3 linked regions of the Oreochromis niloticus genome follow. The protein of the gene in region 3 binds, or shares a complex with, the protein of the main gene of each other region. Links are inferred from orthologs where the notes say so. Each region holds a gene or a part of one and is shown on either strand. Other genes may lie near its edges.

The links.
Region 1: the proteins of eif2s1b (region 3) and eif2b1 are in contact, whole or in part, in a cryo-EM structure (PDB 6K72), measured with the Homo sapiens proteins. The link is inferred for Oreochromis niloticus from reciprocal best matches to the Homo sapiens genes EIF2S1 and EIF2B1. Residues at the interface, in NP_004085.1 of Homo sapiens: Ala28, Glu29, Met30, Tyr33, Gly44, Met45, Leu47, Leu48, Arg75, Lys80, Tyr82, Ile83, Asp84, Arg88; in NP_001405.1 of Homo sapiens: Gly39, Thr41, Ile42, Gln43, Gly44, Leu45, Arg46, Ala47, Asn48, Glu70, Arg74, Ser77, Ser80, Leu81, Glu82, Tyr83, Ser84, Asp85, Tyr86, Cys89, Leu305.
Region 2: the proteins of eif2s1b (region 3) and eif2b4 are in contact, whole or in part, in a cryo-EM structure (PDB 6O81), measured with the Homo sapiens proteins. The link is inferred for Oreochromis niloticus from reciprocal best matches to the Homo sapiens genes EIF2S1 and EIF2B4. Residues at the interface, in NP_004085.1 of Homo sapiens: Met30, Tyr33, Met45, Arg55, Arg57, Arg75, Glu79, Lys80, Tyr82; in NP_001029288.1 of Homo sapiens: Asn245, Glu246, Glu247, Arg250, Thr285, Ser520, Ser521, Asp522.

What each region holds. Positions count from the first base shown.
Region 1 is NC_031972.2:11,331,989-11,339,620, forward strand, and holds the start of eif2b1 (translation initiation factor eIF2B subunit alpha), read right to left. Parts: upstream 3,108-7,632; 5' UTR 2,809-3,107; coding exon 2,796-2,808; intron 2,715-2,795; coding exon 2,613-2,714; intron 2,098-2,612; coding exon 1,961-2,097; intron 728-1,960; coding exon 611-727; intron 511-610; coding exon 398-510; intron 318-397; coding exon 249-317; intron 156-248; coding exon 80-155; intron 1-79. Other genes in the region: bcl7a (B-cell CLL/lymphoma 7 protein family member A), read left to right, coding at 7,596-7,632.
Region 2 is NC_031980.2:8,799,963-8,807,402, forward strand, and holds the start of eif2b4 (translation initiation factor eIF2B subunit delta), read right to left. Parts: upstream 3,012-7,440; 5' UTR 2,916-3,011; coding exon 2,894-2,915; intron 2,435-2,893; coding exon 2,397-2,434; intron 2,293-2,396; coding exon 2,112-2,292; intron 2,016-2,111; coding exon 1,800-2,015; intron 488-1,799; coding exon 405-487; intron 1-404. UniProt on the Homo sapiens protein: Acts as a component of the translation initiation factor 2B (eIF2B) complex, which catalyzes the exchange of GDP for GTP on eukaryotic initiation factor 2 (eIF2) gamma subunit.
Region 3 is NC_031980.2:14,224,340-14,231,300, reverse strand, and holds the start of eif2s1b (eukaryotic translation initiation factor 2 subunit 1b), read left to right. Parts: upstream 1-3,896; 5' UTR 3,897-4,056; intron 4,057-4,166; exon of another isoform or gene 4,167-4,297; intron 4,298-6,405; 5' UTR 6,406-6,407; coding exon 6,408-6,648; intron 6,649-6,961. Other genes in the region: atp6v1d (V-type proton ATPase subunit D), read right to left, coding at 177-255, 340-406, 782-885, 990-1,034, 1,117-1,184, 1,273-1,352, 1,636-1,753, 3,599-3,639. UniProt on the Homo sapiens protein: Member of the eIF2 complex that functions in the early steps of protein synthesis by forming a ternary complex with GTP and initiator tRNA. This complex binds to a 40S ribosomal subunit, followed by mRNA binding to form a 43S pre-initiation complex (43S PIC).

The sequences.
Region 1 (7,632 bases), on a different chromosome or scaffold from region 3:
AAGAAGCAATAGCCAGCATTTTGACACTGATTTGAATTAGATTCAATTGAAGAGCATCTGAGTTTTTACTGGAACACACCTTATTGATGATCCCACCACTCTCCACAACTCCCTCAGCACCAACGATGACTAGATCCACTTTTTCCAAGACGTATCTGTAAAGAATGACAAAAAATACAAAACTAATGCAAATGACATTGACAAGAGACATGACATTAAAATCAGATATTATTAACATCTGTATCCACCCCACAGCTGCATCCAGCACGACCGTTACTGGAACATTGAGTTTCCTCAGGGCTTCTGCCATGTGTTGCCTGAATAAAAAAAAGAACATAAATAAGCCTGTGTCGTTTCAGAGTAAGACTAGAATACAGTATATAGACTGCTCCCTCACCCAGCTGCGTCAGGCTGCGATTCAGTCACATAGACAGAGAATCGTTTCTTCTCAGCTGCAGCTTTTTCCAGCACCCTGAGGACAACTCTGGAGTAGGAGTGAGTCAGGATTTTCTGAGAGAGACAAGGAGAGGCCAGGGAGAAGGAAAAAAAAAATGCATCACTGAACCTTTTCCCTGTAAAGAGCAAGAATTAGGTTGTGTTCCGTACTTACAGCGCCATCTTTAATAAAGGTGTGACAGAGCTTGGCGACCTTGGTCCTTGACATGGAGATCTTCTCTAAAAATAGTTCTCCTCTCTCCTCCATCACCTTCTTACAGCGAGACAGGTCCTGAAAAAAATAAATGTTAGCATCTGCCTTGGATTAAGATAACAGGTCTGATCATGCAAACATACGGTGCAGCCTCTTTAAATCTAGCCAATCTCCATAGCAGTTCCAGCAAAACTGCTATTTCTAAGTTCCTCCTAATGTGCTTTCTTCTAAAATCTTGCACTTTTGCATCTACAATGTGTGCTAGAACTAATTTGATTTAAATTTCTTTTTGGGAAGGAGAATGATGTTCCAAAATTGACAATGTGACATTTGGACAATGTGTGTAACATTTGGAAGCCATTTCTTTGAATTCGGAATATAGAGTCAGAGAAGATCTCAAAGCAACTTACACAGGCCATCCCTAGTCAGCAAAAAACAAGCACATCACAAAGATCGCAAGAAAGTTGCAAACTGCTGAAAGTTTGGTCAAATGAAACTAAGAACAACCTGCAGTAGAAAGGAGAGAACAAAGCACAGAAGCTTTGGAATGTCTTATAATCTGAGACAAATAACAGCCTCAATAAAACATGGTGGAAGCAGCAAATGGGAGGGGTGTGCTTGGCTTCCAGTGTTCCAAGGTCACTAATTTTTATAAGTGATGTGAAAAACAGACAGAGCTGAATGCATACTGAGGTGTGCAGAGCTATCATGTCTGCTTACAGCAAAAAAAACCAGTCATATCCAGCAAAGTCCCACAATGATCCAAAATACACTCTAAAAGTAGCGCTGGAGTTTTTGATGGTCAGGAAATGGAATATCCTGAAGCTGTTGGGTCAATCACGTTGTCTTAACCTGATCAAACTGTGTTTCACTCACTGAAGACAAAACAAAATACAGAACCATAAACAAACAGTAACTAAAGACAGATGCAGTAATGGCCTGGCAAACGTCATGAAGGACGAAATACATTCTTTGGTGATGTCTGTAAGTTCCAGGCTTCAACCAGCCATCAGCTGCAGAAGAGTACGAAAAATAATCACAACTATTTTCCAATTGTGACACCTCCACCTAACAGTTTTTTCTTTACTTTGATGATATTTGTTCTCCTATATGAACCATAACTTTGCTGTAGAACTGCAGTGTCTCTTTTAATAAAGTTCTTTCGAGAACAGTAGCACTTGCACAGCATCCATAAGGTCTGACTCGATAACATACAACAGATCTGGTAGCACTCTGATGATTTCACTCAAGTTATTCACGCTTAATTTTGTTCAATGTTTAAATCTCCAACGCCAAACTGTCTTCACTCACCTGGTGCTCCAGAGATGTGAGGCTTATGAAGCGCAAGAAGAGCTCCCCTCCCGAGGAAACGGCCACAGAGGAGTCCACTCCTGTCAGGCAGTCTGTGGCTGACGTAAGGCTCTCCCTCAGCCCCAGGATTGTTTCGCCTGAAGGGGAAGAGACAGCTTTGTAGTTCCTAGTAGTTCCTTACAGTGCTCTTTCAAATCTGTGAAATCTTTATTTTATTTATGGTAGAAAAAAATAATAATTCTTTTTAAAACTGGATCTCCAAAAGTTGAATCTGTTCATCTGGACGTAGCGTTTTGTGGGAGAAACGTTTCGTCACTCATCCAAGTGACTTCTTCAGTCTCAGCTGACTGCAGGTTTCCCCAAATCTTATAAACAGTACATTTGCTGTTTATAAGATTTAAAACTGGACTTGACATCTGGGCTTCAGTAGCTTCAGTAACTTTTTAAAGCACTGTTTCAGATATTTGAAACACTCTAGATGCTGTTTTCAGATCTTGGCCCACATAATTATCCCAGAGAAACTACAAAAAAAACTATTTACAAATTGAGAAAACACAAAAAGGCTAAATTTCAGGTCTTCTTCTCCACATCCAAGCGAGAATAAGAAAAAGCCGAGACGTGTCTGTATTAACACCAAGGGCATAACACTAACCTTTATCTCTCTTGAGGAATTCAAGCAAAGTGCGGATGGCAGCAACAGCAGAGGCCATGTCCGGGTCTTTCCTCATCTGATCCCTGAAATACTCCACCAGCTCTGTCCCAAGGCACAGAGATATGCAGTTAATATTTCTAACACAAAAAAGCAGAAATTTATTTTTAAAATCAAGCAATTTACCTTCGTTGTTCATCCTGAAAGCAACAACAGCGCCTAAAAGCAAACCACAGAAGATTTCTACAGGTTTCAGTCAGTGCACTCTTTCTGACACATGCCAGAGCGGCTGACTCCGCTCACTATCTCCTTCTTTCAAACGAAAATATTCACAGCGCTCGAAATATTGTTTTAAGTCAGCCCCACTCTGAATGTAAGCAAAAACCTACTGAACACTGTCTAAAAGTTGCTCCTGTCACTATTTCCAACTTACACACCATTAGCTCATCCTGCAAAAGGCAGGTTGACGTGTCGCAGAGTAATGACGTAGGACAAAAACGTCTCCCAGACGCCGTGCCGTTCACGTGAAGTTGGAAATGTGATTTTTTCTTTTCTTCTTTTTTCTTTCATTCGTTTATTTGTTTCTTTGTTTTCTGTTTTTGTTTGTTTGTTTTTATAAACCACAACAAATGGCAAAGTGACCGTAGTGGCAAGATTCAAAATGATGCAAATAGCTCATATTGTAACCTCAAAAGGAAAGAAAATAACAGCAAAGATTGTAAAATAGTAACATAGTAATGCAGAATCTCCACAAAGTGAATGAAATGACCATAAATCAACAACAGAGAGATAGAAATTTCTATTAAAACATATAAATCCTAAAGAGATTCACTTACCTATAACGGGAGACAACCAGACCATATGAGAGTCAGAGACAAAACAACTGGTGAGAAACCATTTGAACTTTGTATTGGTATCAGATCCATCCATGTTCATGAACAGTAAAGCACAGACATCTAATAAGTAAGTTGCTTATTCCATTCTGTAATGTAACTGAAAGGAAATATAAGTGTTTCTTATTCTAGTGTCCTCTGGGCATAGTGGGCATGAAGAGGTACAAGAGCATAAAACAAAGTTTATTATGAAATATGTCTTCATACCAGCAGTTATAATATAATAACATTTACACATTAATTAACATTTACAATAATTATGTACCTTAATAGAACTACACTGCAATATTACGGGTCATTTATGAAATTAAGTATACTGCTTACACAGGGTGAAGTGTCAACACATACTTTCGATATTGTTCTATAATTCAACTTCCAGTTAATCTTGATACGTTTCACAGCCTCAAATATAGCTAAATAGCTCCCAAACCTTTAACCTGTACCACAGTATATGAACTAAAAATGTAAACACCGATACACATAACAAAATACATATTTTAAAATGTTAATGAATTAAATTAAACTTGATAATTAATGTCAGTAATGATTTTTAGTGGGCTCACTTGGCTTTAATGGCTTATAAGCACATGAAGGCAAAGCCAAAGATTAAATGGTAAAAGTTGAAGAAGGAAGAATGTTATACAGAGTTTGGGGAGGAGTTGAAGTATGTGAAGGAAGAGACTATTAAAGAAAAAGTGGAATAGTCAGGGAAATGAAAAACACAGACAGGAGTACTGGGAGGCTAGGTGTATGGCAAAAAGAGAGGTGTCAAAGCCAAAGGCTAAAAGCTCATTGTGTGTCATGTGTGAGGCTGGACACTAACAGCCTCACAATGAGCTAAGGATAAGGGAACTTGTGAGGATAAGGGAATTTGTGAGAGAGACTGAGCTGGAAAGGATGTGCAGCAGTGATTTGTCACATAGAAGGAAAGATGTGCTAACAAGTGATGAGAGTATGGTGAGAAGATAAATAAGATTAGTTTGAGGAGCTGATGAAAGAAGAAAATAATAGAGAATGTGAAGGATGGGGGAATGATATCAGGAAGTCCAGAGGATTAGTAAGGAGGACATGAGGACAGCTATGGAGAGAATGAAGAGTGAAAAGGCAGTTTGTTTAGATCTAATGCAAAAAATCAGAAGTTTTAAACATCTTCACAATGGGCAGTGCACAAGAGAGGTGACAAAAAGAGTGGCGACATAGTTGAAGATTCACCCTTGTTGGGTGTGATTAGGAGGGGCAGGATTAGAAATGAGAACATCGGAGGGACAGCTCAGGAGTTTGGAGACAAAGTTCAAGAGGAAAGCCTGGGATGGTTTGGAAGTGTGTAAATGAGGCATAATGGATATATTGGACAAAGAATGTTAAATATGGAGCCACCAGGCAGGAGTATTAGGGAAAGATCACACAGAGGTTTTTTTCAATGTAGTGAAAGAAGACATGCTGAGGCCTGGTGTGAGTGGAGAGGATGCCAGGGATAGGATGTGATAGAGGTAGGCAATACACTTTAATGACTTCTAAAATGAAAATAGAAGAAGACTTGTTTTTGCTGTTAGTATTATTATTATTATAAAACTTAACAAACTGAAAAAAAAAAGTTTGATAGTAAGTCTTTGTCCATTTCTTCAGGCCAAGCCCTTCTGCAGTTTTGAATTACAACTGCAGAGGGCCACATGGTTCTTTTCTAACAACCACCAACTTTGTCATTAATTATAGTTTTTCTTCAGTTGCTTTGGCACAATTCTCACACCAGAAACACCATTCTCACTTCTTAATGCAGTTCTAAAATCAGTAACACGTTTCCCCTGCCACACTAGCGTTTTTATCACCACACGTTTTTATCTCAGTGTTTTTATACACACTGCTATTGTTTCTACACATACTAGACTACATACACTTCTAGAGATATTTGTTATGGTGTTGATGCACTTCTCACAATGACATTTTAAAATTCATGAAAACAGTTTATATGTTTCTTAGTCAGAACCTTAGATCTGTCCCTTTCCTGAATACTGTCCAGCACTGCATTAGTGTTTTCAATCAAGTTACTTCAAACTGTTTTCAAATATGTTAAAATGAGCAAATCCAGTCACACACTCTTGGTGTTAGCAGTGAAAATGTATTTTGGGTGGAAGCGCATTCTCAGAAGTTTAGTTGAAAGAGATAGAAATACATACAGTCCTGTGTGAAGGCACTGCTAATTACATGCATGCATACTATATGCCCAACGGCCACTTTGTAAGATGCAACATATAAAATCTCAGCTTGGACTGCCTTTTGCCTTGAGAACTGCTTTAATTTTGTGTGTTATAGACTCAACAAAGTGCTGGAAACATTCATCAGCAATTTGAGTTTCCTGTTCTTAGCTGACAGGAGTTGCACCTGGTGTGGTCTTCTGCTGTTGTAGCCCATCTGCATCAAGATCTGATGTGTTGTGCATTCATAGATGCTGTTCTGCATGTCTTGTTTGTAACACAAGTCCTCGAGTGAGTTATTTTTGCCTTCATTTCAAAATATCCAGGCCATTCTCCTCTTGCAATAAGGTATTTTCACCCAGAGAAATGTCGCTCACTGGATAGTTTCTCTTTCTCAGACCACTCTCTGTAAACCCCGGGTATGGTTATGTCAGTAGGTACCAGTAGGTAGTAGGTTCTCAAATACTTTCCAAAGTGTGTAAGGTTTTAATGAAGATAAAAGCCATTTAAATGTTACAAAAAGTGGTGAAAGTGTTTTTATTCATTCATCACAGAGTTGAAGTGATTGTCTGACTTTGCGGGTTCTGACAAATGTGAAAAACGTTTTGATTGTTTTAGTGTCTTTTGCACAGGTGAGCTTTGAACTGCATGAAAAGTGGTGAGGACAGTGGAGGAAGGTATTCACAATGACAACAAACAGCCGAAACTAAGAAGAAAGAGTCAAAATGACCCCAAAGAAATAAAGTGAGGACAAACAGTTTGAAAAACATGCAAAATGAGCACCAAGAGGCACTGAAGTGTCACACAATAAACAAAATAACAAGAAAGAAGCAAAAATTGGAGAAAAATTACCAGAAAAAACTTAAATAAAGATAACTGAAGGGAAACAAAGAAACAAGAAGTGAGGAAAAAAAATTTTAAATGACAATAAAATAACAAAAAGCGAACAAAAACTGAAAGTGAAAACAAAGAAAGACTGAATAAAAAGATTCAAAATTACGACAAAGGAGAGTCAAAAATTGTCAGAGTAAAAAATAAAAAATGTAAAGGCAGAAGGGGACACTGAAAAGTCAAAAAGGGGACATAATATGCACAAAAGACACAATAAAAGCAATACAATACACATTATATACATTATGAGGGCATACAAAACAAGGCCAAGGAGGCACTAAATAAGAAACACTGAATAAGAAACAGAAAAGTGACATCAAAGATATGCAAAACAAGTCCAAATAGACTCCACAGAGGCACAATACAACTATAAAGAGATTTAAAATCTGTGACAGAAAGAGATGAAACCAAGGACAGAACAGGAGACACAAAATGACAATATCAGGCAAGAAGAAAAGAACACAAAGCTCCTGAGACATGCTCAAAATGACTGACGGATGCAAGACAAGGCCAAAATACACATAATGACTAAAGACATGTCAGATGTTTGAAGGAGACGCAAAGTGACAAATAGAGACACGGGACAGAAGCTGCCAGAATGAAAGTGGTGTAATTTTGCTGTTGTTTTTCAGTCTTGTGTTAAGACGTGGGGGACATTTATACTCTTACTCGAGGCCAGTCTATTCAAAGTATCAAAAAACAATAATGAATCAAACAGAGTAAAAATATGAATCATCTTCTTCGTCTTTTCCTCGCACACTCTCTAGTTTTAGCGTTAAGTTTTCTGGCTGGACTGAAGTACAGAACATCAGGCAGCTTGCAGCCTCTTTGTTCTCCTCCTGGCTCAGCAGGGAGACGGCTCTTCTGAGTGCAGCTGCAGCCTTCCGCCCCCCCCTCCTCTCGCTGCTCTATCAACCCGCGCAGGCGCAATTGGCTCCTCTGTGCGCTCTACTGTTTGCATTGTGTCTGAGCTGCCGGCGAGCTTTAAAAATATTATACCCACCGCGGCAATGTCGGGCAGGTCGGTCCGAGCTGAAACCCGGAGCA
Region 2 (7,440 bases), about 5.4 Mb from region 3:
AGGAATTCTATTTATGTGCACACCTGACTGACTTTTGTTTAATTAGAGAATGTCTCAGATTTAACTAGTAAAAGCTTAGATTTCCAAAAACGAACCATGCACCTGCAGGAAATGTCACACTTCTGTCCAATATAACATGTTGTAAACATACCAGCAGTGTTTTTTCAACTGAATCAACTGAATTTGTTTACAATACAGTATGTTAGATTCAAACATAGAAAATAGTTACTTTAAGCATCCAAGATCAAGCCATTTTCATAAAGTAAGTCAAACATTTCCCCATGAATCTATCCATTCTTACAACAAATCTAAAGGTTATTTAGAATCACTGTGTATCGTGTGTATCCGGTGTGTCTTGAATCTTTTTTTAAGGGTGTTCAGAAGTTCCTCATAACAATACTGACCTGTTGTCTTTCCAACTTCTTGGCAAGTTTCTTTAAAACGTCTGGGTTGTCCACTTGAATGTGTTCTGGGAGCCTCTTCACCACTGAAAATGCAAAGAGTGTTAATATTCTGACGAGCCAAAAAATTAAGACAAACTTGAATTACATTCTGCTGATCCTTTGGGGAGATGCTAAATAGCTTTGAGGCCTGTACTGCGAAGCAGGATTTTATCTTATCCAGGTAATTACACGGTTAACCGTGGACTTTCTCTACTACAATTTGTTCACTTCTTACCAGCCACGATAAGGATATATCGCCATGGTAACTTGCACTACAAAGCAGGTTATGCTCCACATTCGAGATCAACACACATGTAAAACTGCCTAATAACCAATCAATCCTCTAGAAAATAGCACCACCATTCCTGGAAGATCCCTCAGACCTCAATGTGTAGATATAGTAATAGTAGTAGTAGTATAACAGTGTAATGTTTTTTAGTAATAAATCCGTAATAAATATAGATTCTCAGAAACACCTTTTTTCTTGATTTTCTGCTCCCTGTTTTTGCCTGTTAATCTGAAAACAAAACACATACATTCAAATTCTGTGTTTATATTTATTCTTTACTCTTTACCCATGTGTTAATGAAAGAGCTCTCATATTGATAAGTCTGTTAACTTTGCAGAGCTGGTATTTTTGCCAGTTTTCTTCCCAGGCTTCGTCTTGTCTTACTGGTCAAAGCACTTAAAGCTTACACTTTTAATATATTATTACACTACAGTCATTTTTCTCTCTCACACACTCATATTGCTGGTTTGTCTGCAGCAACTGTGTTGCTTTCAGTCTTTATTACGTGTTTAACGTCTTCATATTTTCCCATATTTCAGTACAGTTTCACCTTCCTTGGTAAAATCAGTCGCTCTACTGCTGATTCACTTATTACCATTGCCACCAGTATCATGTGAACGCGCAAGGGAAAACCAACATAGTGTGTTGATAACCAGCTTCATGTGAGTGCTTATTCTGACTGTCAATGTTAAGAGAAAGATACTCAGGGTATGTTGAATTTGCTTCATGAACAGGCCTTTGGCCTTTACATTTAACACTTCACTGGTACCGGCATATTGTTGGTTGAAGTTACCACCAATCAGTCTTGTTTCAGCATATTTCGCTGAAGCCAATCATTAGACCAAAGTTTGGCCCTACAACAATCACTAATCACTGTTAGTCGGTATTTATCACAGCCAACTAGGAGCCCTCCACAGCCATGCAGCTTCTGTGTTGGCACAAACAGCTTCTCAAGGTTCTATAGGTAGCTGTCTGTTGTTCCTACTTGATTTGGCTCAACAGTGCATGCAGTTTTTCAAGTTAGATTATCCAAAAGATGTCTGTCATCGTAGGTGCAACAGCAGTACCTGGCTGCAGATCACTGGGCGGAGCTTTTGGTTTGCTAGTAGTCGCCTGCTGTCCTGTCTCTCCCTTCTTGTTCTGTTTGCTGGCCCTCTCAGCCTCTTGCCGAGCTCTCCTCTCAGCTTTCAGCTCCGCTTTAGTCTTTGCCGGTTTGTCCGCAGGCCCAGAAGCCTCTGAGGCAGGCACAGAAACGGGTGCTGTAGCAGGCACTGCTGAAGGAGCTGACAAAGACCAAAACGGACACAGATATCAGGGTAAAGAATGAATCACACTGTACACCCAGATACAACACTTGCTGCTGCCTAAATGGGAGGCACCTTTCTGCATTGTGGGTTTTGTCGGAGGCTGGGATGCTGGAGCTGCTGAAGTGACCGGCTTCTTCTCCTTCTCATTTTCCTGTGATGCCTTGTCATCTTTTTTCTCTTTGCTTTTCTTCTGCTGTTTCTTCTCTTTCCTCAGCCGTTGCTTCTCCTCCTTGGTTAGGTCTTTGCCTTCACTCTGTCACGTGACAGGAAGAGGCGTCAAGAAAAACCTAATTATTAAGGAAAGCATTTATGCACACAAAAGGCTGTAATAAATGTCAAGAAAACACCTAGACTAACCTTTGCGCGTTCAATTTCATCTTTCCTCCCGGGTCCATCTGTAACACAAGCAACAGAGGATGATAAGAATAGATTATTTATCATTATAACGTACTTCTGTTACTTTTCCCACAAGAGGCGGTGATACTAAGGTCGAGTCTGTTAGCTGCTTTTAGTTTGCACCATGTCAGCGAAACCAGTAATAAAACTAGTGTAGTGCATCATCGTCACAGCACAGTGACAACGAGAAACATGCGTATTGTATATTTTAAAACTACTCGAAAAGATGATGCAATACATTCTCCGTGTCTACGGCATGAGTACCGTTTACATGCTCTCGACGCTAACGTTAGCAGGTCTAGCATCTGGGAAATTAACTTTGCTACCAGCTAATAACAAAGTCTACATAATAAGCGCTGTGAGTATGAGATACTTCTTCGTAACTCCTACAACTAAAGAATAAGAACCAAAAGGAAAAACCAAATGAACTACAGCTATTTACACACTCTGAAACCCACCTATCACTCCACTGTCAGCCATGTTTACGATGCTGCTTCACTTCCTCATCTGCTGTAGAAACTACTGCCATAGAAACGTATATCGCCCCCTGGTGGATGACGTTGTATGAGTATGTAGTGCGGTCCATTTTCCAAATAGTATTAAGGCTTAATGGGTGTTATTAAGGCTTAATGGGTGTTATTAAGGCTCACTCAGTGACATACTGTTATTTATTTTATGTTTACATTTGATTCTTAAGGCAGGACTTGCTACATCAACTTGTAGACTCTTTGAAAAAAATCTAAAACTATCAAACTTCCTACATCATTCAGTAGCCTACTGTGAAAAAGTCTTGAGCATTCCTTTATTTCTTTAAACAAAAAACCTTCTGAGTATTATACATATGAACATTAAAAGGGGAAATAAATAAATAGTGTTTTGTATATACTGTTTTGGTTACTGCACATAGAATTAAGTATTGCACAGTGACTGCACAGTAGAGGGAATCACTGTGCAATACATAGAGGGAATATTGAATATTGAATTGAATATTGGAATATTGATCTGGTCAGTTAAGCAGCAGAGGGGGTTGTTGATCAGTTTTATCTGTTTTGGTGTGAATAAATTCACAACAGGTGCACTAGAGAGAAAACAATGAGACACCCCCCCAGTAATTATTTTACAGATGGAGGCCACTAACCTTTTTTCCAATTCTGGCATTAAAATGTCACATTGCCAGAAGGCTTGATGTGTCTCCCTGCACAGTATCAACAGCAAGGAAGAGATTCCAAGAGACAGGCAGTTACTCTAGGAGAACTGGACGAGGCCGTGGAAGGTCCTTATCCCACCAGCAGAACTGGTATCTGCTCCTTTGTCTAACAAGGAACATGAAACTACAAACTACAACTGGACTGATTAGGAATGTTATTTTGGTGACTTTGCTGTAATGATAAGGGCAAAGGTTCATAATGAAAATCCATCCATCCATCCATCCATCCATCCATCCATCCATCCATCCATCCATCCATCCATCCATCCATCCAGCCGTCCATCCATCCATCCATCGGGTAGGTGGTATGTAAACTCTGGACAGATCGCCCGTCTATTCCGCTGATGTTAATTATCAGTTTACTGTTTATATTATGACTCAGTGCATTACAACTTCAGCATCCTGGCTTTTGGTCAGTGATTTCAATAACAGCAGCAGATTTTTGCTGGTTTTGACAAAAAGTTTGAAGTGAAAAAGTTGGTAATGGATGTGCAGCGCTGTTCTTTGTATGCTTATTTGCATCCCCGTTACATCTGCATGCTTAGAGGAAGTTTATTTTCATGGAGACATCTGGAGTGTCATTTTTGTGTGTATATTATCCTCCATCACAAAAAAGACTGAAGACAGATTTTATTGTACCACATTATAGGAAATTTGGATCAGGTTTCCACCCAGGCTGTATTTATAAAAAATGTTTAAACACACATGAAATATAAGTGAAACAAGAACAAAAATACACAGACACAAGCATATGTCCTATTTATAGACCTATACAGTAAAGTGTAAAATCCATGTAAACACTAAAAGAAAAAAGATCTGTCATTTTTTACTGATGCATCCCTATCTCATCATTTAAAACTGACCTTGAAGTTGGGATAAAAGAGATTTATTCTAGCTCTAGTCCCAGGCACAGTGATATTTTAAACCTCAGAGTGGTACTCGGTGTGTAGCTCATATAGCGCAGGGTTATTAGATTGTTGGCTTGCCTCTGCACAGCCTGTTTGTAAATAGTCTGCAGGCATGAGTACACTCCACACCCACACACAGAAGGCAAGCTAACTAGAAACAGCATATTACTGTATATATACATCATGAGTGCTATCCATGGTACTGAATTCTCTGGCCTAGACTGTAATATTAGCTTTTCCCATCTATGCTACAGTGTCTATCCCTGCACTGCTACACCTGCACTCTTTTTCTGTTTAAATAATTTACTAAGTTATACTTTGCTGCCATTTTAGGCCCTATATTTATATCATCTCATACTGGGTCAGAGTCTATTCTGCAGAATAAGGTGAACTCAGCTGCTAGACTTAATGTATCTTTGTGTCTTTCCTCAAGTACAGAATGGACTGAACGTGAATCAGAAGAACAGGAATTGAACACTGTACATCATCAGTGATCTTTTATTTGGTTTCTAGTCACATATTACCATGAACAATCAATATAGAGCTCCTAAAGAAGATTCACGTTGCATCTGTGCTGTATAATCTATTCTATTCACCATCTCCAGATTAAGCAGCGCTACACCACAACGTCACTGCGTGTTTGACTCCCAGCCGGTGTGTGCTGACTGAATTCACGGCGCAGTAGCTGGTTGAAGGGGACCAAACCTCACAGAAACACCTGACTTGGTTCCGTTTGACCAGCCACAGCAAGGCGTGTTGCTTCAGCTGCAAGAGGCAGAGCAAGAGGGAGAGCAGGAGGGGAGGGGCAGTCAAGAGGAAAGGTTACAGGGGTAAAGGTCACGGAAAAAGAGGGACACGAGAAAGATGAAATACAGTAGGAGATGGACATCATCTGCAGGCAGTCAGGGCTGCTGAGTCCTCTTCAGTCTTACCTGATGGAACACACAGAGAGAGAAAAGGAGAAGTTACAGCACAGGAACAAGTGCCTCCGTGTTACCAAGCAAATAGTTCCTATTTAGAGGCTTGAGAACTCTGATAGCCGGTGACATCTCTCCGTTTCCTTCCAAATCCAGCCCACGGCAGCGAACTTTCACCCCCAGTGACAGCTCCTGCATCTCTGCCCTTCCCTCCCCTCTTCCCTTTTTGAGAGCTCTGCGGTTGCTATAATGGGTGACAGCTGTGCTCTGTCAATCCTCCTTGACTGTCAGCAGTTGGGGCAGGGCAGGAATTTTTCAAGAAGTCCCTGAGACCCGATCAGCGGCCCTGGGAGTAATGCTAACTGCACACGTGCCTGAGCTGAAGGAGAGGGAACAGGCCTTTCACCTGTTGTCCTGCCACACACACACACACACACACACATGTTCATGAACTCTGACACCCCCTAACACACACACACACACACACACACACACACACACACACACAACACACACACACACACAAAGTAGACAGACACCCTCACACAATTTTCTGAATGAAGACAAATGAAAGAACAATATGAGAAATGTCCACGTCGATGCTCAGGTCCCCTTGAAACCACACACTTCCTTACATTCCATAAGTGGCGTATTAATATGGGGATATAAGGAAGCATGTGCTCACAAGGGACAACAACTGGATTCGCTGCTCCTCGAGACACAAAGCACCCTTTCATAGCCACGCGTGAAGAGTAGCGGGAAGAACCGGCTTAACAGCGGTTAACTGTGACAGAGTGAGTGAGTGAGTGAGTGAGTGAGTGAGTGAGTGAAGGAAAAATGGAGCGAAAGAGGCAGAGAATGGTGGCTTCTCTCATCTCCATGAAACTAGAAGCGAGGAAGAGGAAATTCTTCTTTCTTTTCATTTGTATGGGTTAAACCTGACCATTGTTTTATCAGACAAGTAAAAAGTGAATTTTCTGATACTGACAGATGACTGGACTGGTCATACTGGGAGATACTTGATGGGTAATGCCAGTGTGATGATGCTGAAATGAGTTTAAATAACTCAGGCGGGTGAGGCAAATACCGACTCCCATCAAACAAAGGTCATCGTCCTTTTTTTATTTCCCAAACATCGTGCCATGCCAAGTCAACGTGATGCCGACAGTTGTGTCAAGTGATCCTTAAAAGCGGAAAAAATTCAATTCATTTTAATCACAACCCCTTATTAAAATAGCTTGAGCTGATTTTTAAAAAATGCGCTTTACTCACCTTCCTCTGGTCTCCTTGCGCCTCCTCTTGTGGTTTTCTCACGGTGAGTAAATGGGGTTAAGATGAAGGCCACGGTCCGCCTCTCCTTCACAAGTGGTGACTTCCTCGATAAATCTAAACACTTCTGAACCAAATGGCCACCAGAAAGTCTGTCTCGTCTACTGTAATTAGACTAGGATGACTCCTCTGAGAGGCACCAGATTTCCTGATTCTTTCCTGCATCACACCTCAGCTTCCCCTCACCTGACACAAGTGGCTGCCATGTTGTGCTGTGTCTTCAGTAAAAGTGAGAGAAAGCTGGTTTGATACCAGATTTTTACTCGTATTGTGCTGCAGTTAAGCTGAAACCACACAAGCACAGCAACCCGAAGATTTTGTTGCCTGACATGTGTCTCTTCCTGCGCTGTGAACTAAAGTTTTAGAAGGAGAAATCACAAGAGTGATTCAAAAACAGACAAAACTCTGACCAACCTTACTCCTCATCCCTGAAGTTGTCCTCTGCCTTTTATCCACCCTTTAAAGCCAAGCTCATGAAACTAACCCTCTGCTTTCTGAGAACCACTCCCCGGCTTCACCCTCAGCTCTCCTGTGATCACCCATCCTCCTCTGTATCTGGTCAGTGGATTGTGCCCACAGCAGGCCTTGCAGATCGGCCTTTTCTATGGCTCCAGGAGCGGCCCCCTCCAATGCGGCCTCCCACC
Region 3 (6,961 bases):
ATTGCGCAGTCTGGTTTTGGACTTAAGTTGCTGGGGTAGTGACAGAATGAATTCGGAGCTGTGGACAGCCAGCTGGAACAAGAATATCTAATAAACATGCAAAAGATGCCTCCTGATAAGTTTTTTATAGGTTTATGCACTAAAACCTTCACAAGGCAGACAGAAAACATCGTCACCTGTAAAACTCCTCTCGCTCCCTCTCATCCAGCTCTGTGATGATGTAGGTGAGGGTGCGATCAATCCTGGGAATAATCACTGCAAAGCGGATTCAAAATTATTTTAGCTGCACCAACCCTTATTTTATTTAAAAGGCTGCAGTTGAATGTTAAGTGTGTTTACCGTGCTCGATGGCGTTCACACGGCGGTTGGTGATCTTTATGGCTTCATCCAGAGTGACAAAAGATGTCTGCAAACCAAAATTGAGCAATTTTTAACACTTAAACTTCAGCTTTTCTAGAGTATAGATTACATTTCATCTGCATCTGTAATCCACACAAACTCAGTGTAATGAATGTATCCTTTGTGGAAATGTTATAGTGATATGCCACACAGCAGGAATACACAAACCATAGCGGGAGACGCTACCCCTTTGTCTTCATGAGTTGTTTTGGTCATTTAGGATGTGAGCCTTTGATTATACACTCACATTATGCACAGTTACATGTGAGATCATCAATACAATTTTAGTTTCATTGAGTGACGTTACATTGTGCTTTTTTCAATGATAATACCATCACCCTAACTATAAAGCATGCTTTTAATATGTAACAGCGCCTCCTACCTGTAAGGAGGCCAACTCCACAAGCAGCTCCACAGCTCTGGCATAGTTCCTCTTCAACCTCGAGAGCTGCTCTCCTCCTCTCGCCAAACCGGTGAGCTCATAACCTGACAGACACAAACACATCGTGGGGTGAGGAAGAGCGCTCTCTGCGATTCCCTTCAAACCCAATGTAGAGTTACACCAAACTCAGACATGTAACTGGACTTACTGTCTCCGCCTTCTTGGTAGTGTTCGAATACTGGAAGGGTGACACCTAAAAGAAGAAAAGCAGCAGATATTTTAAACAAAACAAAACAAAAAATGATTAAAAATGAGAAGATATTTTTGATGCTAACCTGCCACATTGTCTTTCTTGGCTCTGACCTTCACCTGGGCTTTGTTAACATTCTGGATTACAGTTGTGCTGTAGACAAAAACAACAGATGGAAGTTGTTTGTGTTTCTGCACCAGAACACAACATCACGTCGCTGACACGTTATTCTCATTCTTACCTGAAGTCTCCTGCAGCAAATTTAGCTTCAGCCAATGAGAAGGCAGCCTCCCTCATCACCTCTCCCATCTTGGTTTTAGTCTAAAAGTATAAACACACCTTTGGGAAACACGCAGCTGAAAGCCTTCATGAAGATTTTATTTCATGAGGTTTTGATTCAGACTGGCTGTAATTTGTTGGTTCATAACAATGAAGGTACCCAATTAATTACTATAGAAACACCTCTTAGTATCAGATTAATTGACCATTATCATGAGCTACAGCCTCCAACCAAAATGCATGATGTATGAATAAAGTATTTATCGCATCATCTGTTCTTTCAGACTGTATTAGGACCAAAAATGAAGGCTCATGTTAAACTGACTTCAATAATTTTGCGAAGGATCTGACGGAAGCGCATGGAGAGGGCATCGGACTTCTTCTTGAGCAGGTTGCGGCCGGTCTGTGCTCCCTTCAGCCGAGCCTTCATGATGGTCTGAGCCCTGCAAATCCAGAGAAACCCACATATTTTTAACACTCTATTTGAATCAGACAGTTAAATTAGGGGTAAAATGACACAACCAAGTTTCATTCATTTCATCTCCTTGTCATGTTTTCACTCAGACCTTAGGCCATCCCAAGGTCTCTGTCTCTCTTCCCTGGTAGTTGATACCCTCACCCCAGTTTTTTTTTTTTTAACCGGCATTTCAGATTTTCCTCTTTTCTCTCTCGACCTCTATGCTTGTTAAAGCTCTTTTTTTTTTTTTTTAATGGATTTGCTTCTAATTTTCCACATTTCATCATTTTATGTCATATACTGGTTCAATGGGTCATCTCTGAAGGACAGGAACAGCCTTAAAAACATTATTAAAGACGTATACTCCAAGAGTACCAAGTCCAAAGAAATGTGTAGTTCAGAAAGAAAAGGGTCTTATTAGTCAAGGTGGCCACATTCTCTCTAGTGAGTTTATTTCAATGCCCTCAGGGCAGGGCTATCATGCACCCATGAAGACAAAAAAACCACTACTGAAACTCCTCTGTTCCCTCTTCTATCAGGCTACTAAATGCTAATTGTCAAGAGTAGTAGTTTGTTCTGGAGCACCAGTGTGGTTCACTGGTTTTAGCAGGCAAACCTGTATATTATAGGGCTATAGTGTGGAGGCCTGGGTTCTAATTCAACTGGCCATTTGCTGGCTTACCTTAAAAAATGAATAAGTAGTAGTATCTGTTCTTCTCTTTCATCTAGCTAATGCATAAGTCCATGTGTTGTAGTTCTGGTGGGAGACCTTACAATGAGCTCCTGACAAGTTGAATTTTATCTGCTAAATAGCTAAGTAGTTGTAACTCACTTGTTATTGACTGCTCATTGACTTTTCATTTAAATTATCATGACTGATAACTTTCAATTTAAATAAAGGCTAAATAAAAATTTCCAAATCACAATCTTTCCCCAGCTCTTTCCAGACTTGAGCAGGTGACTCATATGCAATAAGGCTGCCTTAGGCCTGCGCTGGAATTTAACATGGCTCCATAGTGTAAAGGTTAGAGATCCCTGGATTAAGACCAGATAAATATGGGGATCCATCCTCTGTGGAGCCCTCTTTGTGAATAAGGGAGCAGCCGAAAACATACAGCCATCAACATTCAAGCCCACTTTTGTGTCACATTACTCACAGATTGTTACATGTTAGATTGTTAACGATGTCATCCTGATCGTCTCTAATATAAATTTACTACGTTGCTCTATGCTGAATCCCTTCCCATCCTGGAAGAGAGATCCCATTGATTTTCCTGAGATTTCTTCTGTTTTTTACCATTTCAGAATTTTAGAAATTTTCAGAATTTTCAGAATTTTTTTTCGGGAGGAGATCTTATCTGAACCAAGAGTCTACGGACAGAAGGTGTTACATGCTGTAATTTGTGTAATAGCGTTATTTTTAAAACAAGGTAAGGATCAACACAATCTGCACCACTCCTCTACATACACAGCTCACTGATATTTGCACCCAGGAGCTGATGAAAGGGTCAAACCTCTGTGTTATACTGTTTCAGTGGTCGTAAATCTAATATAACTGGATGCAGGTGAAATTAGGTTAAAATGAAGTCGCTCCGACTGACAGCTCACACTTGGATAATGTGAGAAATATCACATGACAGCAGAAGGATTCTTCCTCTTTTAAACGGTAACCTTGGCACAAAACAAAACGGCGATCCCTGCTTTTCAAATGCATGCAGAAAATTATCCACAACTTTCATATATAAAAGCAAATATGTCAACAAAACAGTGGTATATGAGCTTTAAGGAAGCTACATTGCTTTAGCAACTAGCCATCGCACAAGCTGCTTACATTCTGGAGGGGAATATGTCGATCCTGTCTTTTCCAGACATCTTTCCGTTTTTTGTCGATTACTGCGATTTTCAGTTCACTCCCGCTTCCCTAAATCAACACTACAACTTTAGCTTGAATCCTGAATTATTAATCTAGACATATAACAGCTAAAATCTCGCTCTTCGTGTAGGATTAGAAGAGCAGATCGAGTTGACGGTCGTGATCTTGTCGGCGATGATCAGCTGGCCCTCCGCGTCATGTGACCAAAGAACCAATCTCGTTCCGCACATGCGCGCGTGTGGAAGGTCCCTACGATCTTTTCCGGGTCGACAAATTAGCACACCCATGAATGTGAGCTAGCGGGCCTGAGTTACTCATTAAAAAAAACAAAACACCAGAAAGAAAACCGAATCTGACATTTAAACAAAGTCAGCACGGAACATTCAGGCGCGTCGTTCTGTAACCTTATGACACAGGTGAGTTTGTTTTATGAAGATGTCGTTTGGCGGGGACTGGGGAACGATCGGAACTGGCAGATAGCCGGCTAACAGCTTAGCCTGCGTGTGCCGCATGTGAGCTGGGCACCGGGTTATTAGCTGGGAAGCTAACTGATGTTGAAAGAAAGCGTTTCTGCGCTTGAATGAACATTCTTCTCGTGGTTTTAAATGTGATAACTAGGAAGTCATACAGTCGCTGGTAACACGTACTAAATATTTGGTAAGCAGCTTTTTGTGTCCATATTTTGTCGCCGATTCTCTATTTTAAACAGTAAGTGATTTTTCTGCGATGATGATGCGTTACATCAGTCCATTCACAGCAACAGGGGAAAAAGACAAATGGCAGAAGTTTGTTTCATTTCCCTGCTTTTATTTTATGTCCTGGATATTTGTATATAAGCTAAACCTGGGCTTTGACTTTTGTTCAGTGGGAAAACATAGAAACACAGATAAGTGGCTCCATTCAAACGGACTGGGACTTTTCGTTTAATATTAAAGGTATCTCTCTACTATTTTGTCCACACCTTTCTTGATAGTAGACTAAGGATTAGAAAGAAAACATCTTTATGGCCAAAGTCTTTTTACAGGTTAAAGCCTCTAAAAATGACCGCAACTAATATTTTAAAATCTGAGTAAAATAGAAAAAATGATACTTTTCATTACAGTGTTCTTCCATAAACGGATGTCTTTACTGGTAGCTGAATATACTTCATGAACAGGCACTGCAGTGTATAGTTAAAATACTCTGATGTAGAAAGGGATTGATGTTAATTGGCTGACTGCAGCATTTTTCAAACTCAGAGTACTTGTGGTTGCTGACATTGTGTCCCAGTTGCCTGTCTGTGGCCTGCATACCCATGATATCACATCAAGGTGGTTATCATCACAATAAGTTAACACACAGTTTATCAACTCTCAAAGAAATGGACTAGCCATATACCAGCCCAGATAGTGGGTCCTGGAAGATGAGCCGACTCTGACCCACCAAAGAGGCATGGCATTCGTAGTGGTTTACACAAGAGGAAGGGAGGAGACGACTATCACTAGAGGATGATTTATATGTAAATGTTAAACAGAGGCACAAGATACAATATCTAGAGTCTTAAATCAGGAGTGTTGAGATCAAAGAATGGGAAAACAAAGGTGATAGGATCTAAGGGTCAAACACTCCAGGGGGTAGGCTGCTGTCCTCAGGTTACAGGGACAACAGGATGTTGAAAGCAAAAGATTTGGGGAATAGTAAGTCTGTCCCCATATTTGTCATCTCAATCTAGCTACAAGTGCGCTTACATAAGAGAGTTGGCATTGGCTGCATCCAATCAGTCATAAACCTGGATAAGCCTACTGCCAACAGGGACGTTGATTTTACAGAGGAGAAAACTATGATATTAGAAGAATATGAAGTGGTCATACACATAATACAGGCTGAAAGCAGCACAGCTGCTGCATACCAGTCCAGGAGATCTTGAATGGAATGATGACGCTGTTTCAAGGAGAGTTTGTTTGGTCATTAGGCAGTGATTTCATACAAGCTAATCTAGAAGTTAACATGGTGATGTGCCCTGGTAACAGGGGATTTGTGCTTCTGTGTTGAAAGCCTATGTTGTAACCTGACGTGTAATTAGACATTGTGTGGATGCAGCCCACAACTATTATGATTGTTCTGTATTTTTGAGTCCTCTTGTGTATTTCTGACTACTTTTTCACAGCATAGTTTGTATTTTATTAGTGAGAGAATAATAATGCCTCTATAATTTGTGGCTGACCCCACATATAAAACACTGATTCACAACCATTAAGTAATTAACACGTAATAGACCGTGCACAAGCATGAATGGATCATGGGTCCTGCTCCCTTTAGGGGTCACCACACTAGACCCTCTCATTCTGTTTCTAGCATCTGCTCTGTCACATGCTCTGCATGTCTCTTTCACTACATCTAAAAGGAGGATTGTCAGAGGGATGGTGTGACAGATTATTCACAAATTACTATAATTGAGATTAAAAAAGACAAAGAAAACCAGAATGAAATAATTTATACATGGTTCTCTGCTAATTTAATGTTGAGCTTTGATTGTGTTTAGTTGTGGGACTTCTTTTTAAACAACCTTTGGTGAAAACTGAAGCAGTGGAGGCAGAGATGCTAGTTACAAGTTATTGACCATTTTTTATTAACTAGAAAAAAAATTGTATTTATTAGTACTGAAACACCAAGTTACAGGGCGAGCAGTACTTTTCACAGTGTTTAAAACTGCAAAGTGAAGATTTGTGCCATGACTTGCAGACGTTAACCTCCCCCTGTCTTCTTAACTGTTTCTGACCTCACAGCAATGCCGGGGCTCAGCTGTCGATTTTACCAGCACCGGTTCCCAGAGGTGGAGGATGTCGTGATGGTGAACGTGAGGTCCATCGCTGAGATGGGCGCCTACGTCAGCCTTTTGGAGTACAACAACATTGAGGGCATGATCCTCCTGAGCGAGCTGTCGCGTCGACGTATCCGCTCCATCAACAAGCTCATCCGCATAGGCCGCAACGAGTGCGTGGTCGTCATCCGAGTAGACAAAGAGAAGGGTGAGTGTAGACTAATATAGTTGAAACTGGTGGCGTGTCGGATCTGCAGTGCCAAAGTGCTGGTGGAATAAAAACCATATGAAATGAGATCTTTTTGTGTGGTCCACATTTCCTTTTTTTGAATTGAAGTGTTATTCTGTGACGTCAGGTGGACTGTGGTTAGTAATATGATCAATAACTTACATTAAGTTATAGCATTCACCAGTTTAATATCAGGACAGTCTCACATGACACACAGAATATCTAATTTGGAATAATTAACGGGGACCTGCTCTAATGAGGTCACCATATGTATGGGTAATTCCTGAAGCTC